Saccharomyces cerevisiae S288C: one gene and its partners. The gene in region 2 interacts genetically with the main gene of each other region. Each region holds a gene or a part of one and is shown on either strand. Other genes may lie near its edges.

What was found.
Region 1: mutations in SFL1 (region 2) and OPI1 together harm fitness more than expected from each alone (negative genetic interaction), as found in Saccharomyces cerevisiae (3 studies listed by BioGRID).
Region 3: mutations in SFL1 (region 2) and SUT2 together harm fitness more than expected from each alone (negative genetic interaction), as found in Saccharomyces cerevisiae (2 studies listed by BioGRID).
Region 4: of SFL1 (region 2) and FLO11, changing one suppresses a phenotype caused by changing the other (phenotypic suppression), as found in Saccharomyces cerevisiae (2 studies listed by BioGRID).

Annotation. Positions count from the first base shown.
Region 1 is NC_001140.6:65,216-69,978, reverse strand, and holds OPI1 (transcriptional regulator OPI1), read left to right. Parts: upstream 1-2,522; coding exon 2,523-3,737; downstream 3,738-4,763. Other genes in the region: MCO14 (4a-hydroxytetrahydrobiopterin dehydratase), read right to left, coding at 1-271; APM2 (Apm2p), read left to right, coding at 431-2,248; AIM17 (Aim17p), read left to right, coding at 4,120-4,763. UniProt on the Saccharomyces cerevisiae protein: Negative regulator of the transcriptional complex INO2-INO4 in response to phospholipid precursor availability.
Region 2 is NC_001147.6:583,927-589,888, forward strand, and holds SFL1 (Sfl1p), read left to right. Parts: upstream 1-3,054; coding exon 3,055-5,355; downstream 5,356-5,962. Other genes in the region: RUP1 (Rup1p), read right to left, coding at 383-2,398. UniProt on the Saccharomyces cerevisiae protein: Involved in cell surface assembly and regulation of the gene related to flocculation (asexual cell aggregation). Mutations in SFL1 causes constitutive cell aggregation.
Region 3 is NC_001148.4:573,909-578,305, forward strand, and holds SUT2 (Sut2p), read left to right. Parts: upstream 1-2,643; coding exon 2,644-3,450; downstream 3,451-4,397. Other genes in the region: HAA1 (Haa1p), read left to right, coding at 1-1,194; DNA-directed RNA polymerase I core subunit RPA135, read right to left, coding at 3,677-4,397. UniProt on the Saccharomyces cerevisiae protein: Putative transcription factor involved in the regulation of the activity of the cAMP/protein kinase A pathway. Involved in sterol uptake.
Region 4 is NC_001141.2:388,379-395,836, reverse strand, and holds FLO11 (Flo11p), read left to right. Parts: upstream 1-2,161; coding exon 2,162-6,265; downstream 6,266-7,458. Other genes in the region: YIR020C (uncharacterized protein), read left to right, coding at 1,280-1,582. UniProt on the Saccharomyces cerevisiae protein: Homophilic binding protein that enables kin discrimination in heterogeneous yeast populations by mediating homotypic cell-cell interactions during flocculation, a reversible and asexual process in which cells adhere to form aggregates (flocs).

The DNA of each region.
Region 1 (4,763 bases), on a different chromosome or scaffold from region 2:
CTATGTCATGCGTATGAAGTTCCAGCTTGACCCAGGTGTAACTTGTGTGAATCAGGGGATGGTGGCCCCATAGATGAGATCTCATCGATACACGAGTCAAAAAGGCCCATGTGGTTTCGTAGTCCTTGAATGTTACCTCTCTTGTTATTCCCAAACATTTGGTCTTATTAGGGTCCCATTGAACTTCCCAACGGGTCAAGGGTTTTAGCTTCTCGAGTAGTTTGCCCCCTGTGAGTGCACTGGACGCGATTCTAACAATCTTGTTGTGCATTGTATTCTTACTTTGGTTTCTTTCTGCTTTTGGTAGGTTGTGTTTACTGTTTTATAACTGGAAGGGCTTAAATTCCAGATTGGAAAATTGAGAATGCCTTGGACAAAAAGCAAATAAAGGGACCCAAAAATAGTAAAGAGGAAATCAGGAAGGAAAGGCATGTCGTCAAGCCTTTTTATCCTGGATGAAAATCTGGAGCCATTGGTATCGAAGAATATTAGAGCACTACCGAATCTATCGTCGGTTCTTTCAAGTTTCAAACAATGTTATCATGACGGGTCGCCTCCAATTCTCTCCCAAAACGATTGGTTCTTTATACATTTGAAGAGAGACTTTCTGCATTTCGTTTCAGTGATACATACCACAGACAAACCAAATATAGACTTAATGACTATACTAGCCTTTTTGGAACAATTTTATCATCTTTTACAAAAATATTTTGAAATCGAGGTCTTAACTAAGAATGTCATACTGGACAACATCTTACTTGTCCTGGAGTTGATTGATGAATGTATAGACTTTGGTATCGTACAAGTGACGGATCCAAGTATCATCAAGGACTACATTCGTGTGAAGGTCAACGTACCAAGAGTTACAGTAGACAATGAGGAGTGGAGCCCTGGTGAAGAGAGCAGTAGTAGTAGCGGTAGCGATAGCGATAGCGAGTACAGCAATACTAATAAGAGGAAGGATAAGAAGAAGAAAAGGAAGAAGAAAAAGGGCACTAAAGGGAAAAGCGTGGGCAAAAGTAAATTAAAAAGTATAATGGTAAACAATAAAGAAAATAGGGGCATAAACGTGGTGGAAACTGTCAAGGAGACACTAAGGAACAAGAATGATACCGGTAAAGAAGCCGCTAATGACGAGCTCCCCAATGACGGTAATGATTTATACATCAATGGCGATATTGCGAAGACGATTATAATGCCCATATCATGGAGAACAAAGGGGATACATTACGCCAAAAACGAGTTCTTTCTTGATGTTATTGAACGTGTTCAGTACTTGATGGATTTTGAAAAAGGAGTGATTAGGAAAAATCTGATACATGGAGAGATTGTGTGCAGATGCTATTTATCAGGGATGCCCAAACTGAAAATATCCATAAACAAGATACTGAACAGGGACCCCCAGTTCATGTCGAATTCCAGCTTTCATCAGTGTGTTTCACTAGATTCCATAAACACTATTGAAAAAGATGAAGAAAAGAATAGTGACGATGATGCTGGTTTGCAGGCCGCCACAGATGCAAGAGAAATCGAATTTATACCGCCGGATGGCGAATTTGTTCTTTGCCAATACGAGTTGAAGAGACATGTAAAGGATGCGCCGATGGTGAGGTTGAAAGATTTTGAAATCAAACCTAAACTGAAGAAGTTTAAAATCCAAATTGTAACCAAAATTCAAACAAATTTTAAACCCACCAACTCAACGTCGAAGCTAAACGTGAGAATTCCCCTGACAAAAGTCTTCCAGGAATATAAAATAGACCTCAGCAAGCAAATTAGATTCAAGGCAAACATCGGCAAGGTCGTGTTTAACTTGAGTGACGATTTTCTCCTCTGGGAGATACAAACCATGAAGGGGCACCGAGAACATAGCACAAACAAGAGCTCACAGTACAACAGCGACGAAGATGATCCAAATACGTGTGCATCCATGGTGGCAGAGTTCCCCCTCTTCAACCAGGAAGAATATGACCGCCTGCAAGAAGAAATGAAAACCTCAATGAATCCGCCGCCCTTGCGCACGGGACCCAGGCTGGAAGAACTATATAGACAAGTGCACGACCAACAAACTTCCCACGTTACTCCTCGAGATAAGTTGGTCAACATTGATTTCGAGATTCCGTACTGTACATGCAGTGGCCTGAAAGTTGAGTACTTGAAGGTCGAAGAGCCACAATTGCAGTACCAGTCTTTCCCCTGGGTCAGATACAAGACCGTCAGCGACGAAGAGTACGCATATATTGTTTGACGCTTACGCAGACATCTCATAGATAGACAAATGGTACGTTCGTTTTAGTATATAGATGGCACCTTATAATCTTCATATGCAACCGGGTAAAATCGGGCGTTCTTATTTTTTTTTTTTCCACCTCAATGAGAGGGATTAATAAGAGGATTGGAGCAAGACAGCGATCTGCACTTAGCCAAGAAAGCATATCAGGCCAGAACGTGGCATTTTGTTTACAGTGCTGATTAAAGCGTGTGTATCAGGACAGTGTTTTTAACGAAGATACTAGTCATTGATGTCTGAAAATCAACGTTTAGGATTATCAGAGGAAGAGGTAGAAGCGGCTGAAGTACTTGGGGTGTTGAAACAATCATGCAGACAGAAGTCGCAGCCTTCAGAGGACGTCTCACAAGCTGACAAAATGCCGGCAAGTGAGTCGTCTACGACGCCGCTAAACATTTTGGATCGCGTAAGTAACAAAATTATCAGTAACGTAGTGACATTCTACGATGAAATAAACACCAACAAGAGGCCACTGAAATCAATAGGGAGGCTGCTAGACGATGACGATGACGAGCATGATGATTACGACTACAACGACGATGAGTTCTTCACCAACAAGAGACAGAAGCTGTCGCGGGCGATTGCCAAGGGGAAGGACAACTTGAAAGAGTACAAGCTGAACATGTCCATCGAGTCTAAGAAGAGGCTTGTAACGTGCTTGCATCTTTTAAAGCTGGCCAATAAGCAGCTTTCCGATAAAATCTCGTGTTTACAGGACCTTGTTGAAAAGGAGCAGGTGCATCCTTTGCACAAGCAAGATGGAAATGCTAGGACGACCACTGGAGCTGGCGAGGACGAGACATCGTCAGACGAAGACGACGACGATGAGGAGTTTTTTGATGCCTCAGAGCAGGTCAACGCCAGCGAGCAGTCTATTGTGGTGAAAATGGAGGTGGTCGGCACAGTCAAGAAAGTCTACTCGCTGATATCGAAGTTCACAGCAAATTCGCTGCCGGAGCCCGCAAGATCTCAGGTTCGGGAAAGTCTTCTAAACTTACCCACAAATTGGTTCGACAGCGTCCACAGTACATCACTGCCGCATCATGCTTCGTTTCATTATGCCAACTGTGAAGAACAAAAAGTGGAGCAACAGCAACAGCAACAGCAACAGCAGCAGCAGCAGCAACTTTTGCAGCAGCAACTCCTGCAACAGCAACAGCAAAAAAGGAACAAGGATGGCGACGACTCAGCCTCGCCGTCCTCCTCCGTAACTGCGAATGGGAAAGTACTCATTCTCGCCAAAGAATCCCTGGAAATGGTGAGAAATGTCATGGGCGTAGTCGACTCCACGTTGGGCAAGGCTGAAGAATGGGTGAAGCAGAAACAGGAGGTAAAAGAAATGATCAGGGAGCGTTTCTTGCAACAGCAGCAACAGTACAGGCAGCAACAGCAGAAGGATGGCAATTACGTAAAGCCCTCTCAGGACAACGTGGATAGCAAGGACTAACCGAGACAGATTGAGGTCTTTCATGCATTACCACCAGTAATAATATTATACGGAATAATATAGTTTATATAATATCCATAATCATAATCATAATCATAATCATAATCATAATCGTGATATTGTACCAGCCCCGCTTCTCCCCTTTTGAACTACCATTATTATCGGACCCTCTTTACCTTTGAATGGCTCAGTAAGGACCTTTGCGCAGCCGTAAGGGGGTCGGGAATACATTTCCGGGGTTGATCCTCGAGGAAAAGTGCTATCTATATAAGGAGAAGCCCTTCTAGATCCAAATATCAGGGGTAACTCTTCACAACTGGCCAGGAACATATTCCAAGTTAAAAAGAAAAAATAATTATTAGAAACCAATTACCAACACAAGATGCTAAGATCAAATTTATGCAGAGGATCTCGAATCCTTGCAAGACTGACCACTACACCAAGGACATACACATCTGCGGCGACAGCTGCGGCTGCGAATCGGGGACATATCATCAAAACATACTTCAATAGAGATTCTACGACAATTACGTTCTCCATGGAGGAGTCCAGCAAGCCGGTTTCCGTTTGCTTTAACAACGTTTTTCTTAGAGATGCCTCCCATAGTGCCAAGCTGGTGACCACGGGAGAACTGTATCATAACGAGAAATTGACCGCTCCTCAGGACATTCAAATTTCTGAGGACGGAAAATCTCTAGTGGTGAAATGGAAAGATGGCGGTCATCACCAGTTCCCTTTACAATTCTTTATCGACTATAAAGGTTCCAGTTTTGTTTCGCCAGCAACAAGAAAACAAGAATCCAGATATAGACCCCAGTTATGGAATAAGCGCATCCTGAAAGATAACGTCAAGGACTTACTTTCTGTGAGCTACAACGAGTTTATTGATCCTAAGGATGACTCCAAGCTTTTCCAAACGCTGGTCAACCTACAAAAGTTTGGTATCGCTTTCATTTCCGGTACTCCTTCATCCTCCTCTGAAGGCCTTACCATACAAAAGATCTGTGAAAGGATCGGACCCATAAG
Region 2 (5,962 bases):
AGAATTAAAATAGAAGGGGTATTGTTGCGGCTAAAGTAAAATAAAGAAAGGAGAAGTTAGAAAAAGCAACTCAATGATCTTGTGTTCGAGGCTATATTATAATAAGTTTAGGACTTGGCATTATTTCAGATCAAAAGTATAAAAATTAAAACTGTCCTTTATCTGTCAACCTTTTTATTTTTGTTTGATCCTTAGAGTCTAATTTATGTCCGTAAATAGAAGTTTTCGGATTGCGGGCGCAGTTAGCCTCCAAGCGGAGTTTCTATAGTATTGAAAACGTAAACTAGTAACATATATGCGGTTCAAAATTACTAGAGAAAATGAGATCATAGTTTAAAGAGACATACGTTATTTATCTGGCGGAAAGTGTATAGAAATCTATCTAATTATCAGAATCGATGTCATCGTCATTGTCATTATCGTTACCATTGTTAATATTGTTGGTGGCTTGTTCAGGATCTCCCATACCATCGAAAAATTGCGAACGCAATGTTTTTAATGAATTTTGGTCATCCTCAGCAAATTTTAAGCACCCGCTATTGCTTTTCAACGCTTCCGCGACTACTTCTTCCGTGGGAATTTTACCCTCTTCACAGTATATGAACATCAGCGGAGTTTCACTTGCGTACTTCGTGCCATGCTTGATGGCTTCTTGAACGACAGAAGGCGACGAACATTTTTTCACCTTGAATTCTGTTCCCAACGTATTACTTTGTATCCATGACCATGCACCGTTTCTGCTTCTGATAAAGTATGAATATGGCGATAGTGCTGCCATTGTGAGGATGTAGGGATTTTCGATCAGTCCCAATTGCTTTGCAGTGTTGATTATGTGTGTCTCTGGATGTGAAAGGTTCCATTCTCCATGCAGTTTGGACGCCAAGTCCTTATATTCCTCCATTTTAGCGGCTCTCGCAGAATTTAATGTATCTTTCAACGATGCGATCTGCTTTGCTGCTTCATTATTAGCATCGTCAGGAATTGTTTGTAGATACGCCAGCGTCGACTCTAGAATAGTGGATATGTTTTTGCCTTGGTAACTCTTTAACTCGTTGATCTCTTGAAGCAAGCATCTGGATCTGGTCCGCGCTTGCTTTCGTTTAGAAATAATATGTCTTATTAGTTGGTCTTTGCACTGTTTGGTGTAAAGCTGTGGGTAAAACTCAAGCGGTATATCCACGCCATTGGGTAGAGACACTGATTCTGTATTTGTTTCTAGTTCATTGAACAGGATTGTTAATACGGGTGCCACCTCCTTCAAAGTATTCTCCGGTTCCACATATCTCGCCTCTTCTTGCTCGCCACCACGAATCACGTCTTCTTCTTCTTCCTCTTCTTCGGGGTACAATAAAACGTTGAACATTTTATATAGATTAGAATCGTACTCTTCAGGAAGAAAATGAAACAAGGACAAAAACGTCTCCATTGGAGGTTCATTCTTGTTCGGAGTATGCAAAGCAGAAGATATAAAGAGACTTCTTGTTTCCCGGTCTCTGATCCCAGGACACATTTCCAAATCCACTGCCAATGATTTGATAAACGCTGGGAGCACCTCATAAAGATGCTCGGAATCGGCCAGCTTGGACCTCAATTGCGGTTCCAAGGACGACGTAAACACCTTGGCCGAAACAAAGGCTCTTTCACACTTTCGCGTGTTAACCACGGAGATGAGTTTTTGCAACTGCCAGAGCAGATGCGGTTGCAACCCTTCATTAGGTCCGCTGGCCAGCACGATCTCCGACGTAGTGGAACCATCTTCTGCCTCGCAATATGCAAGTCTGTATTTGGGCTCCGTAAACGATGAGCCCTTGAACCAGTCTGCCCTATAGTTCAAATCCTTAAAGTCCGGTTTCAAGAACACGTGTGGGAAATACACGGCCGTGAGCAACGCAAACAGCCCAAAATAGCTCTCAATTAGACTATTCAAGGGTAGCGGCAACACAACCGTAGGATCGCCCACGTTCGACTTGAACTCGTTGTGTTGTACTATACTATAAGAGGGGGGAGGAATGGATGTCTCCGATATAGAATAACGATCGTAGTTCTGAGCAGTAACCCTGCATCCGCTGGTGCTATTAGAACCGCTGCGTTCATCCGTGATGTCTTCATCGTCATCATAATCAACATCGACACCACTCACATCCGGCATATCAATGTCTTGGTCCCCGTTGTTCGGAACATCGCAGGGCTTGGTTCCAGCCACTATTTTGTTCTCAGAAATCCTAGGCTGACTGCCATCATTCTCCTCACCCATTTCCGCTTGCTCCGGCAGCTCGTTCGAAAAGATGAAGTTAACTGCTGCCTCCAAATTACCGCCAGTTCTTTGGAGGGCGTCCACAGCTACTTCGTGTGGAATACCCATTTCTAGCAGTGACTTTACAGCCTGATTATCCATCATCGTAGCTTACTTAACAAAAATCAATTACTTAAGATTCCTTTTACAGGTGACGACTCTCCTTTTCCGGCTTCTTCTCTTCTTTCCTCTACTCCGACAGGTCCTTAAGCCTTGTAGTGAGAAGTACCTTTCAACAATAGTATCTTTTACTTCCGTGCCGGGTCGCCCGGACATCACCCGCCCGGCACAGATGCCTTGGCAGCAAGCGCATCCATCGCTGCATCTCCGCCGGAAAAACAGATGTTCAGTACATGAAAAGACGTTTTTATTCGACATAAACTTTTTCAGCTAGCAAGAAGGATCTCTTTTTAAACACTCTATACAGGTGCACACAAAGGGTTGTTGAAACAGAAACACAAACGCACGGCGAAATAATATTATTTATTCGACTTACGAATTTTTCAAAGAAGTCGTACTGGTGTGAAGTGGAAAGTTTCAAAGATAGTTTGAAAAGCAGGGAAAAAAGAACATAGTGAACCTTCATCGCCACAGTGACAGGTTCAAGGAAAAAATTCACACACACACACATACGCATACGCACACAAAGCACTCAGCTCTATATACATAACAAAGAATATTGTAATTCGACACTATTTGGTACATTCAGAGGGTCCTAAGACAGCACAAATCAGTTATATAGAAAAAAAGAAGAAAAAATCATGAGTGAAGAGGAAACGGTCTCAGCCCCAGCTCCAGCTTCTACACCGGCCCCGGCTGGAACCGATGTAGGTAGTGGTGGAGCAGCAGCTGGAATAGCTAATGCTGGTGCTGAAGGCGGCGACGGTGCCGAGGATGTTAAGAAACATGGGTCGAAGATGCTAGTGGGGCCCAGGCCGCCACAAAATGCGATATTCATCCATAAGCTATACCAGATTCTGGAGGACGAATCGCTACACGACTTGATATGGTGGACCCCTTCGGGCTTATCCTTCATGATTAAGCCTGTGGAACGGTTTAGTAAGGCTTTGGCTACATATTTCAAGCATACTAATATCACGAGCTTTGTAAGACAGTTGAACATTTACGGCTTTCACAAGGTGTCGCATGATCATAGCAGCAACGACGCTAATAGTGGCGACGACGCCAATACTAATGATGACAGCAATACTCACGATGATAATAGTGGCAACAAAAACAGTAGTGGCGACGAAAATACCGGTGGCGGTGTCCAAGAAAAGGAGAAAAGTAACCCCACTAAAATCTGGGAATTTAAGCATAGTTCTGGTATTTTCAAGAAAGGTGACATTGAGGGACTCAAACACATTAAGAGAAGAGCTTCTTCCCGTAATAACTCCTCAATTAACAGTCGAAAGAATTCTAGTAATCAAAACTACGATATAGATTCCGGTGCAAGAGTAAGACCCTCTTCGATTCAAGACCCGTCCACCAGTTCCAATTCCTTTGGTAATTTCGTTCCGCAAATTCCGGGCGCCAATAACTCTATCCCCGAGTACTTTAATAACTCTCATGTAACTTACGAAAACGCAAACCATGCCCCGCTGGAATCCAATAACCCGGAAATGCAAGAGCAAAACAGACCTCCGAACTTTCAAGATGAAACACTGAAACATTTGAAAGAAATAAATTTTGATATGGTTAAGATTATAGAGTCTATGCAGCATTTCATATCTTTGCAACACAGTTTTTGTTCACAGAGTTTCACCTTCAAGAATGTGAGCAAGAAAAAATCGGAAAATATCGTGAAGGATCACCAAAAGCAACTTCAGGCATTCGAAAGCGATATGTTAACTTTCAAACAGCACGTCATGTCGAGGGCCCACCGTACAATAGATTCTCTTTGTGCTGTAAATGCTGCCGCTACCGCTGCCTCTGTCGCCCCTGCACCCGCGCCCACATCCACATCTGCATATGCACCCAAATCTCAGTATGAGATGATGGTTCCTCCAGGGAACCAGTATGTCCCGCAGAAATCTTCCTCGACCACGAACATCCCTTCGAGATTCAACACGGCTTCAGTGCCGCCCTCGCAACTTTTTGTACAATACCAACCGCAGTCGCAACAACATGTGACTTATGCGAAGCAACCGGCACATGTACCAAACTTTATCAATCAGCCGATACCCATCCAACAACTACCTCCACAATATGCAGACACTTTTAGCACTCCACAAATGATGCACAATCCTTTTGCCTCGAAAAATAACAACAAACCGGGCAACACGAAGAGGACCAATAGTGTTCTCATGGACCCGCTGACTCCCGCAGCGAGTGTTGGAGTTCAGGGTCCACTAAACTATCCTATCATGAATATTAATCCTTCTGTCCGTGACTACAACAAGCCTGTCCCTCAAAATATGGCTCCGAGTCCAATATATCCTATTAATGAACCAACAACGAGATTGTATTCTCAACCAAAAATGAGAAGTCTCGGGTCTACAAGCTCTTTGCCCAACGATAGAAGAAACAGTCCTCTGAAGCTGACACCGAGATCATCGTTGAATGAAGATAGTCTGTATCCCAAACCTAGAAACTCTCTCAAATCCAGTATTTCGGGCACGTCTTTATCCTCCTCTTTTACACTAGTTGCCAACAATCCAGCCCCAATTCGGTACTCTCAGCAGGGATTGCTTCGCTCATTAAACAAAGCTGCTAATTGTGCTCCAGATTCGGTAACTCCATTAGACTCGTCTGTCTTGACGGGCCCTCCTCCAAAAAACATGGACAATCTTCCTGCTGTTTCTTCAAATTTAATAAACTCCCCCATGAACGTCGAGCACAGCTCAAGCCTATCACAAGCAGAACCTGCACCACAAATAGAACTACCGCAGCCATCTTTGCCCACAACGAGCACCACTAAGAATACTGGCGAGGCTGACAATAGTAAGAGAAAAGGGAGCGGTGTTTATTCTTTACTGAATCAAGAGGATAGCAGCACGTCCAGTGCTGATCCTAAAACTGAAGATAAGGCCGCTCCGGCACTCAAAAAGGTTAAGATGTGATCTTTGCCTTTTTAATCTCTAGTTGTCTAAAAGTTCAAAGCACCTCACTGTATGTTTATTACCTTTGTTCCAATTACTTTTGTTTCAATTACTTTTGTTTCATTTCATTTTAGGTATCCCAACGGGTAATCATTGTTATTTATTTTATTCACTTTTTTTTCTTTTCCTCCTGATCCTTGTGATTATAACTATATTTTTACCAACTCCGGTAGTTGTTTTATTAAGTTTTCATCACACTAAATTGTATTTTCCACTTTCATTTCCACCTTCCTTTCCCCTACCTCCCTTCAATTCGTATCATAATACCGCCCGTTCTTTCTAGTATATCACAGAATAGCTACGGGGTATTGTCTCATAAACAGAAAAATGCACCTTTCGATAAACTTCCTGTACAATAATTCTATAAGTATATATGTATGTTTGCTATTAAACAACCATCACAAAAAGACACCTTATTCTTTATGGACGCCTTCAAGTTGTGCTCCTATTCTGTAGTTGTTGCACCATGCATGTTACCATCATAGCCGTCTAAGCGGGACTATTTCCTTTTGTTAACACCTATACTAATTAAACAGCTGGGGAAATTTTTATTCTATGCTTCGTTGAT
Region 3 (4,397 bases), on a different chromosome or scaffold from region 2:
AGAGTTACTGATAAAAGCTCTTTGGTCTACGATTGGCCATTTGATGAAAGTATTGAGAGAAATTTCAGTACAACCGCAACCGCTGCAACTGGTGAAAGTAAGTTCGACATTAACGACAACTGTAATAGAATTAATAGCAAAAGTTATAGTAAGACTAATAGTATGAATGGAAACGGTATGAACAATAGCAATAATAATAATATCAACAGTAATGGCAACGACAAGAACAATAACAACTCTTCTAGACAAGAACATCAAGGAAATGGACTATTTGACATGTTTACAGATTCATCGTCGATTTCAACGCTTTCCCGTGCAAACTTATTATTGCAAGAAAAAATTGGTTCGCAAGAAAACTCTGTCAAACAAGAAAACTATTCGAAAAATCCTCAACTTCGTCATCAATTAACTTCCAGAAGTAGATCATTTATTCATCATCCGGCAAACGAGTATTTGAAGAATACTTTTGGAAATTCACATAGTAATGACATCGGAAAGGGAGTTGAAGTGCTATCTTTGACACCGAGTTTTATGGATATTCCCGAAAAAGAAAGAGAAACGGAAAGATCGCCATCATCCAATTACATTACTGACAGACCTTTCACTCGAAAACCTAGATCTTCTAGCATTGACGTAAACCATAGGTATCCACCTATGGCACCAACAACCGTAGCGACATCTCCCGGTGCATTGAACAATGCCGTAGCAAGCAATCTCGACGATCAACTGAGTTTAACATCACTAAACTCTCAGCCATCATCGATAGCAAATATGATGATGGACCCTTCAAACCTAGCTGAGCAAAGTTCTATTCATTCAGTTCCTCAGTCAATAAACTCTCCGAGAATGCCTAAAACTGGAAGTCGCCAAGACAAGAACATTCACACTAAGAAGGAAGAAAGAAATCCGCTAAATAACATACACGATCTGTCACAATTGGAAAATGTACCAGACGAGATGAACCAAATGTTCTCCCCACCATTAAAAAGTATGAATAGACCGGATGCCATAAGGGAAAATTCATCTAGTAGTAATTTCATAATCCAAGGAAATAGCATGATCTCTACGCCTTCCGGAAGGAATGACCTTCCAGATACCTCTCCAATGAGTAGTATTCAAACAGCGTCACCACCAAGTCAATTACTGACCGATCAAGGATTTGCGGATTTGGATAATTTCATGTCTTCGTTATGATAAATTTGCTTTTCGTCTCTTGCTTCTCTGTAACTGTAGTTTTCCTCCTCCCACATATATATATATATATACACTTTTATACACCTAATAATATCATCGGCATTATGATTGCTTATACATTTTCATAATCAATATTACTGTTCACCATTTGAATCACTGCAGAAATATGCACTGCGCCTTCTTTTTCTTTGCCTGAAGCACCCACACACAAGAACAGGAATGTGAATGGCCTCCCCATCTCACTTTTACTTAATAGTATTCTGACAATATAAGGTATCAGAGAGTAAGACCATTATTAGGCAAACAATAATCTTCAGAATTTTTAGTAGCGCATTCTCAACCTTTCTAGGTGCGTTTTTCTAATGAAATAGTATCGTTTTCCTTCCGCATTCCTTGCGTAGTTTGTTGTGTAAATATAGCAATAAGAAACCCTATAAATCATTATGATGTAACTCCCGATTCTTTTAAATAATTACATAAACTAGGAAGGCAAGTCCGAACACGCAGAGATGAGGTATTTGCACTCAATGACAAATCTAGGTTTAAACTACGGGGCTCCATACCTTATCTCTTCACTTATCAAAAGTAGGCAAAAGAAAAGAAAATAAATATAATTTCTTTTTCTGCAGGCAAGATTTTAAAAGAACTTGCGCGTCCTCTGTGCAATCTACCTGGGGAGTCTCGGGCTTTAACCGCTCCCCATTCTAAACTGCTTCCATTGACGTGTACTATACTGCTCACTTCTTGCTCTTCGAGCAACAAAATCTGTATTACGTTTCTTACACTAGTCGAGTGAAAGAGATAAGATACCCACTTTTACTTGCCGGGAGAATGGAAAAGAGAAAACGGAAGAAAGGGCTTAAATACATTTTCCTTTAATATGAACATCCTACTGTAAGATAAAAATTGGATGCTGATAATGGAAAGGAGACATGTACGGTATGTACGGCAAAACCTCGGCGGGTTTTCGCCGCTAGCTCATATATTCTTTCGTTAAATTTTAAAATTTCTTATTCTAAATCTTCTTTACATGTTTGGAAAGAATTTATTGGAGAGAAAAATCTAGACCTGCCAAGCCGATAAACGAATGCCTGCGAAGAAATAGTGTAAATATTACTCCTGAAGGTAGAGTCATCTAGGCGGAGACGAAAACAAAGTTTAGCTTTTCGTGAAATTGCCCATTTCATGTTTATCAACCACCAAAGGTTAAATGGAGGTTTGACAAAAGAAATTTTCTTGCTAAAGGTTAGCATTTTTTTTGGAATTTTTTTTCCTTCGACTGGCTGTAGTTGTCCTTCTATATTACGTACAACAAAAACTTTCTTGAATGAAGAATTAGTTCTATCATATAGACCATAAGAAAGAAAACGCACTTGGATAATTTTTAACAAAGAAGAGGGCAAACTGACGCTCACCAAGCTATTGGTTTGTTTGGATCAATCGTCAGATATGAAGCCGAACAATCGAACTTGTGATGTAATTACCAACAAAGATGAATCTCTTCCTGCACTTTTGCTGCCTGCACTGAACAGTTACACCTGTGACGATTCATTGCTAAAAGGACAAATTTCAAGCAATGGCAGATATCAACCATTCGGGTTTTCTGATTGCTCTTTACTGCCAAAGCGTTTAAACATTCAGGCAGGGCAAGGATCTATGCCAGTTTCTTCGATTCAATGTGCAGACCACAGTTATAGTAATTGGCAAAAAGAATCCGAAAAGACTAAGCTTCCCAAGCTTGGTTGCCCAACAGAGTACACTGAATACTATAAAACTGTTTCTTCCGGCGAAACAACCGATTCAGCGGTTGTTTCATCTATAGCAACGAACAGACTCAAAAGAAAACGTCAGAGGGACGGCCCAAGTTGTGACTCTTGTAGGATAAAGAAAATAAAATGCAATGCAACAATCATTATCTTTTTACAGGATAGGAACCTAATTTCATCAATTTCTTCAAATTTGCATTATACACTTTCCCAAGACGACATAAACCAGTTTCGAATGAAGTTTTTCAGGAAACTGCCTGACGTGATGGGCACATATGAAGTCATAAAACACCTTGATAAAATAGTCCTTTTCAAAGCCTGCACCTCTTGCAGTAGAAGAAACCAAAAAAATGGAAAGTGTCTTTTTTCGAGAGGATTTACAAAATCTGATATGAACGTATTTCCCAAGATAAATAGTAAACTTAAAGACAAAAGTATCTTCGAGATGACTGTCGATGATTATGTTGCCGCTGGCTTCCAAACCCTTTAGGTTTCATGCATGTAATTTCCTCCTATGTAAAATATAGGAATATTAATAAAACGCACCAATAATAAGTTAGATATTTTTCTGCAAGATATAAATTTGTTTACTCATACATATATATTCTATTGCGGGGCGCTCTTGTATAAGTAATTCAATAAAAAACCTCTATATGATACAATTGACCAAGCCTTCATTTACCATTCTATATCAATTTGGAAAGAAGGGTATTTCTCTATTTGGGCTCTACATTATAACGCAATCTTATACCCATTGCGGATAGCTCAGAGTCCAAGTACTTCAACACAAATGGTATGGCCACCGTAGTTGTTTCATTACCACCAACAAATTTGTTACCTTGTCCATCTTCCCAAATTTGAGAGTCGTCAATAAAAATTTTCTCTCCATCTTCTGATTTAGTCAATAGCTTCTTTGCATCTTCGAATCTCATGGAACAACGACGGCAACAAACGGTGGAAATCGAACCAATTCTTGGCACACTCTGTTGCGTGGTCAAAATAGAACCACACTCGCGACATACGGATGCCTGTGTGTAGTCTGATGAATTTAGCAGACGATCTTGTAATAGAAAAGATGTACCATGCCCAATCAAAGCATCTCTTTCCATTTCACCGACACGAATACCACCATGTCTCTTTCTACCTTTGACAGGCTGCATAGTCAAACTATTCACAGGACCAGTGGAACGAACTTGGAACTTGTCATTGACCATATGACGTAATCTTTGGTAGTAGACAACACCAACATAAATATCTGCCCTTAATTCTTCACCAGTAGCACCTGAGTACATTGGCTCATTACCATGGTAGTTGTAACCCGCCTTCGCTAGTTGCTCACCAAAGTAATCGGCTGGGGTATCGTCCTCGTTAAAGATCCAAGGTGTAGAGTCCTGTGCAATACCATGCAATGCCCCCGCTTTACCTGCTAAAGATTCG
Region 4 (7,458 bases), on a different chromosome or scaffold from region 2:
CGAATTATTATTACAAATTTCAAAGAAATTACTAGTCCTTTTTGTCCCCTAATGTATCCCTCATTTCATACCGTCGTTTTGGGGTTCCAACTACGTATAGCTTTCAAGTGTGGTTTTACGGTAAGAACAACCCCCCATCGGTTAGTGCGGAATACTTTCCTATTCTCATCGAGAGCCGAGCCATACACCTAAGGTGGACAGAAAGCTAAAATTCCAAAACAGAAAAATCTAACATCTTTGCTCCCTTACAAGTAGGAACGCTAGCGTATCAACCCATCTCCAGATTTGCCCAGCATTTCTGTAGAACACCCAATGCGAATGAAGACTAATGAATATTGTAAAGACAAAAAATAGGAAAAGTTTAATTAGTGATGGTTCTCACCACCCCAAAACGGTCACTTGCATGCATTGAGGACATGCACCTGCAGTACTTGTTTTTCTCGAATGTTTTTTACCATCTCTTTTTTCCTTATCTGAGCTGCTGACGCAGACGGACATTGTTTCATATTTCGAAAGCTGTGCGGGAAAACGGACCCTAACACGAATGTGAATGCGCTAATCGGTATTTCCACCACATGAAACCTGCTACTTTTTCAGTCCTCTTCGTATGCATTTCCCAAAATTCATTCGTAGCCTTGTCAACTTAGACTCAGTTCCACGGCGTGCAGGACGGGGTATTATGAATAAAAGGATCCACGGGTGAGATTTGTTTTATGTTTTAGGTATGGAGTTTTGTACCACAAAACTTTAGGAATACCGGATTGTGTGCCTACGCCAGCCCCAGAGTATGTTCTCACAGCTGTAATTCCTAGTGATCTTTTCCTGACTCCAATAGGAACGCCGGTAGGCAAATTAAACTTTCGCGGCAGGAAAAAAAAGGCTTTTTCTTTTTTGCCTTTCAGTTTCTCGGAATGTGGCATTACATAAGCATAATCCTTTTTGGGTGTGCCTGGAAAGTTCAAATTAAGGTTTTTTTCTTCTGTTTTCTTAACAAGAAAATGTCGCCCAAAGAGTTTCGGCCGTTATTTTCCTATCGAGTGGGTCCTTTTTGTCTTTAGTCCTTCTCTGGGGCTAGCGATCACTGCAAAATTAGGCTTTACTGGTACGAGTTAACTTTTTTTCTTTTTTTTGTCATCCTTTTCTTTGGGGCTAAGAATGGACTTCCCTTTTCTTTTTCTTTGTTGCGACAGTGGCTTCAAAGAACTGCTGATTGCTCAAGGCAATCAGTCCGAGCGTTTAGAAGGTGATTGTAGGCAGAAATTAACTTTGCGGTAAAAGAATGACATTCTTTCTTAAAAGAAAAATTAGCTTTTTTTTGTCAGGCATTGCACAAACTTTTTTATTTCTGCCTATACTCTTAAACAGATCAGTCATTCATGTTGTCTTTTTAACGGTCGTACTGGGACATCGCATACCTTGGGATTCCGTAATTAGGTGCAACAATACGGGCACAACTCATTCTGCGGTATCTTCACGGACAGAACTTCTATTGCCTATCGGTGGTGTGATTAACAATTGGAAGCGCAGAGCTTGGAATGGATTTTCAATTCAATGGATTTGGAGGTATTCGTTTGTTTACTAATATTTACTTTGAGGACATTGCCCAACCCTAAAAGTGCCTGCTCAAGAATAGAATAACATTATGATACGTTTTCTTGACCGCTGAGCAATTTAAAGCAACTATTAGGGTACGATTGTTTCTAGAGAAATGTGGGTCATCTTTTTAGGTCCGTTCTCTTCTGATGAGGTAACCTTTACAAAAATGTCATAGAGTTACCAATTGGGATTCAAGGCATCATCGCAATATACTTCGTTCTTTTACGGAGAAATTAAGCTCTTTCTACTTTGAATTAACTGTTAGACTTGTCTTATCTGAGGAATGTCCGTGTTCGAATTAAATAAAAAATTAGGGCAGTTTTATTTACCTTAACAAATATGTTCAAGCATTTACGTTACTGCGCTCTCTTCTAGTTCAAGAACGGATAACTCATAGACTTACCAGTACAAATTGTTGAAGGGTTCCCAATTGATAAAAAGGATCTCTTGCTTCCTAAAATAAACGTATAAAAAGCACCCTATTCATCAGTTATTATCCCTCGTCATGTTGTGGTTCTAATTAAAATATACTTTTGTAGGCCTCAAAAATCCATATACGCACACTATGCAAAGACCATTTCTACTCGCTTATTTGGTCCTTTCGCTTCTATTTAACTCGGCTTTGGGTTTTCCAACTGCACTAGTTCCAAGAGGATCCTCCGAAGGAACTAGCTGTAATTCTATCGTTAATGGCTGTCCCAACTTAGACTTCAATTGGCACATGGACCAGCAAAATATCATGCAGTATACTTTGGATGTGACTTCCGTTTCTTGGGTTCAAGACAACACATACCAAATCACTATTCATGTCAAAGGTAAAGAAAATATTGACCTGAAGTATCTATGGTCTTTGAAAATCATTGGTGTCACTGGTCCAAAAGGTACCGTCCAACTATACGGTTACAACGAAAATACCTATTTGATTGACAACCCAACTGATTTCACAGCCACTTTTGAAGTTTATGCCACACAAGATGTCAACAGCTGTCAGGTGTGGATGCCTAACTTCCAAATTCAATTCGAGTATTTGCAAGGTAGTGCCGCTCAATATGCAAGCTCCTGGCAATGGGGAACTACATCTTTTGATTTGTCTACTGGTTGTAACAACTATGACAATCAAGGCCACTCTCAAACGGATTTCCCAGGCTTCTATTGGAACATAGATTGTGACAATAATTGTGGCGGTACGAAGTCATCTACCACTACATCTAGCACTTCCGAGTCATCTACCACTACATCTAGCACTTCCGAGTCATCTACCACTACATCTAGCACTTCCGAGTCATCTACCACTACATCTAGCACTTCCGAGTCATCTACATCATCATCAACCACCGCTCCTGCTACACCAACCACTACCTCATGCACTAAGGAAAAGCCTACACCCCCAACCACTACCTCATGCACAAAGGAAAAGCCTACACCTCCTCATCACGACACCACTCCATGTACAAAGAAGAAAACTACCACATCTAAGACATGCACTAAGAAGACTACTACTCCAGTACCAACCCCATCAAGCTCTACTACTGAAAGTTCTTCTGCTCCAGTACCAACTCCATCCAGCTCTACTACTGAAAGCTCTTCTGCTCCAGTAACCAGCTCTACCACTGAAAGCTCTTCTGCTCCAGTACCAACCCCATCAAGCTCTACTACTGAAAGCTCTTCTGCTCCAGTAACCAGCTCTACCACTGAAAGCTCTTCTGCTCCAGTAACCAGCTCTACCACTGAAAGCTCTTCTGCTCCAGTACCAACTCCATCCAGCTCTACTACTGAAAGCTCTTCTGCTCCAGTAACCAGCTCTACCACTGAAAGCTCTTCTGCTCCAGTAACCAGCTCTACCACTGAAAGCTCTTCTGCTCCAGTAACCAGCTCTACCACTGAAAGCTCTTCTGCTCCAGTAACCAGCTCTACCACTGAAAGCTCTTCTGCTCCAGTACCAACTCCATCCAGCTCTACTACTGAAAGCTCTTCTGCTCCAGTAACCAGCTCTACCACTGAAAGCTCTTCTGCTCCAGTACCAACTCCATCCAGCTCTACTACTGAAAGCTCTTCTGCTCCAGTAACCAGCTCTACCACTGAAAGCTCTTCTGCTCCAGTACCAACTCCATCCAGCTCTACTACTGAAAGCTCTTCTGCTCCAGCTCCAACCCCATCAAGCTCCACCACTGAAAGCTCTTCTGCTCCAGTAACCAGCTCTACCACTGAAAGCTCTTCTGCTCCAGTACCAACTCCATCCAGCTCTACTACTGAAAGCTCTTCTACTCCAGTAACCAGCTCCACCACTGAAAGCTCTTCTGCTCCAGTGCCAACTCCATCAAGCTCTACTACTGAAAGCTCTTCTGCTCCAGTACCAACTCCATCAAGCTCTACTACTGAAAGCTCTTCTGCTCCAGCTCCAACCCCATCAAGCTCTACTACTGAAAGCTCTTCTGCTCCAGTAACCAGCTCTACCACTGAAAGCTCTTCTGCTCCAGTACCAACTCCATCCAGCTCTACTACTGAAAGCTCTTCTGCTCCAGTACCAACCCCATCCAGCTCTACTACTGAAAGCTCTTCTGCTCCAGTACCAACTCCATCCAGCTCTACTACTGAAAGCTCTTCTGCTCCAGTAACCAGCTCTACCACTGAAAGCTCTTCTGCTCCAGTAACCAGCTCTACCACTGAAAGCTCTTCTGCTCCAGTACCAACTCCATCCAGCTCTACTACTGAAAGCTCTTCTGCTCCAGTACCAACTCCATCCAGCTCTACTACTGAAAGCTCTTCTGCTCCAGTACCAACTCCATCCAGCTCTACTACTGAAAGCTCTTCTGCTCCAGTAACCAGCTCTACCACTGAAAGCTCTTCTGCTCCAGTACCAACTCCATCCAGCTCTACTACTGAAAGCTCTTCTGCTCCAGTGCCAACTCCATCCAGCTCTACTACCGAAAGCTCTTCTGCTCCAGTACCAACCCCATCAAGCTCTACTACTGAAAGCTCTGTAGCACCAGTACCAACCCCATCTTCCTCTAGCAACATCACTTCCTCCGCTCCATCTTCAACCCCATTCAGCTCTAGCACTGAAAGCTCTTCTGTTCCAGTACCAACCCCATCAAGCTCTACTACTGAAAGCTCTTCTGCTCCAGTATCCAGCTCCACCACTGAAAGCTCTGTAGCACCAGTACCAACCCCATCTTCCTCTAGCAACATCACTTCCTCCGCTCCATCTTCAATTCCATTCAGCTCTACTACTGAAAGCTTTTCTACTGGCACTACTGTCACTCCATCATCATCCAAATACCCTGGCAGTCAAACAGAAACCTCTGTTTCTTCTACAACCGAAACTACCATTGTTCCAACTAAAACTACGACTTCTGTCACTACACCATCAACAACCACTATTACCACTACGGTTTGCTCTACAGGAACAAACTCTGCCGGTGAAACTACCTCTGGATGCTCTCCAAAGACCGTTACAACTACTGTTCCAACTACAACTACGACTTCTGTCACTACATCATCAACAACCACTATTACTACTACAGTTTGCTCTACAGGAACAAACTCTGCCGGTGAAACTACCTCTGGATGCTCTCCAAAGACCATTACAACTACTGTTCCATGTTCAACCAGTCCAAGCGAAACCGCCTCGGAATCAACAACCACTTCACCTACCACACCTGTAACTACAGTTGTCTCAACCACCGTCGTTACTACTGAGTATTCTACTAGTACAAAACCAGGTGGTGAAATTACAACTACATTTGTCACCAAAAACATTCCAACCACTTACCTAACCACAATTGCTCCAACTCCATCAGTCACTACGGTTACCAATTTCACCCCAACCACTATTACTACTACGGTTTGCTCTACAGGTACAAACTCTGCCGGTGAAACTACCTCTGGATGCTCTCCAAAGACTGTCACAACCACTGTTCCTTGTTCAACTGGTACTGGCGAATACACTACTGAAGCTACCACCCTTGTTACAACAGCTGTCACAACCACCGTTGTTACCACTGAATCCTCTACGGGTACTAACTCCGCTGGTAAGACGACAACTGGTTACACAACAAAGTCTGTACCAACCACCTATGTAACCACTTTGGCTCCAAGTGCACCAGTAACTCCTGCCACTAATGCCGTACCAACTACAATAACCACTACTGAATGTTCTGCTGCTACAAACGCTGCCGGTGAAACTACATCTGTATGCTCTGCTAAGACTATCGTAAGTTCTGCAAGCGCAGGCGAAAACACTGCACCTTCGGCTACCACCCCTGTCACGACGGCTATTCCAACCACAGTTATTACCACTGAGTCATCTGTTGGTACTAACTCCGCTGGCGAAACAACAACTGGTTACACAACCAAGTCCATCCCAACCACTTACATAACCACTTTGATTCCAGGTTCAAATGGTGCCAAGAATTACGAAACTGTGGCCACAGCAACCAACCCTATTTCAATCAAGACTACATCCCAACTAGCTACAACAGCTTCTGCTTCTAGCGTGGCTCCCGTTGTCACATCTCCATCTCTAACTGGTCCACTACAATCTGCTTCTGGTTCTGCAGTCGCTACATACTCTGTTCCTTCTATCTCGAGTACTTACCAAGGTGCTGCTAATATCAAGGTTCTTGGAAACTTTATGTGGTTGCTACTCGCTCTTCCAGTTGTATTCTAATGATACAATTCCAACATGTTCGTTTCTTCATTACGATGTTTTCATTCTTAAATTAAGATATTATTTCGATACCCTCTTTACTTTCTTCCACCATTCTGTTTTCGCTGCCATAATTTTGTAAGGCAGAAAACTACCCGTAGAATACATATTCATTTACATATTTTTTAGTTCTTCAAAAATTATCTTTTACCTTTTTTTACTTTATTTTACCATTTTTCTTCTAGCCCTATTTTGACCATCTGATAGCTTATTCAAGAACAAGTACCGGTAGTATTGGCACCGCGCCACTTTTCCCTCTCGCTTTTTTTTTTTTTCTTTTTGCCAAGCGCCTGCACGTTCTTTTGTCTGGAGTCTTGGAAAATGATAACCACCAAAAATCATCCCACGGACGGCTTGAGTAAAAATGTTTTTCCGCGAGACGGAAAGAGACGTAACAACCTTACATTTTTCCTAAAAGATTAATAAACCTGATATTGCCTTGGCACAACTAATAATCTTCGACCAGGCTTTGATGAATAAGAGGATCTTTACAGGCACCTTTGCTCTTTGAACAAAGAATATTTCCTTCTTTCTATGTGAGTTTACTGGAGTAATGCTTATATTATTCGCGTCCCCCCACGCTAACCTTAATGTGCCTAGATATCATGGGTTATTTAATGACAAGTCCGCTAGTGTCATCAACCCACTCTGTCTTTCATTTAAGATTCGCGAGATAGAACGACATCTTCAATTTAAACTTTTTAGGTGACGTTTCTCTTCTTTATTTCCTAAACAGAGCACCGAGACTTACGATTTTGGCGGGCCAACCTTAAAAAAAAGCTAAAAAAGTTAAATTTTGACATGAAGTCTCGTTAGAAATTCTTGAGGACGATGTAGATTTCCACGATTGATCCTCTCTTCAGGGCCGATTGTCTTCGCTCAGAAAATTCCGGAGTAGAAAAAACAACGTTGCCTGTTCTGATTGACCAAGGCTTCTGTACGAAAAGGGGTCTTCCTTTTTCGTACAGAAGATATTACTAATTTCGGTCCGAAATTCTAGTGCTCTTCGGACTGTATTCACGAAAAAAAGCCTCTTTTTTCTGAGAATGAACAGAAAAAAGGATGCGGCAAGATCCGGTAAGAAAGAGGTAGTTCCCCGCGTGCACTAACTACCCCGGTATATTTTGCTTATGTAAGCATATTTAGATAATAAA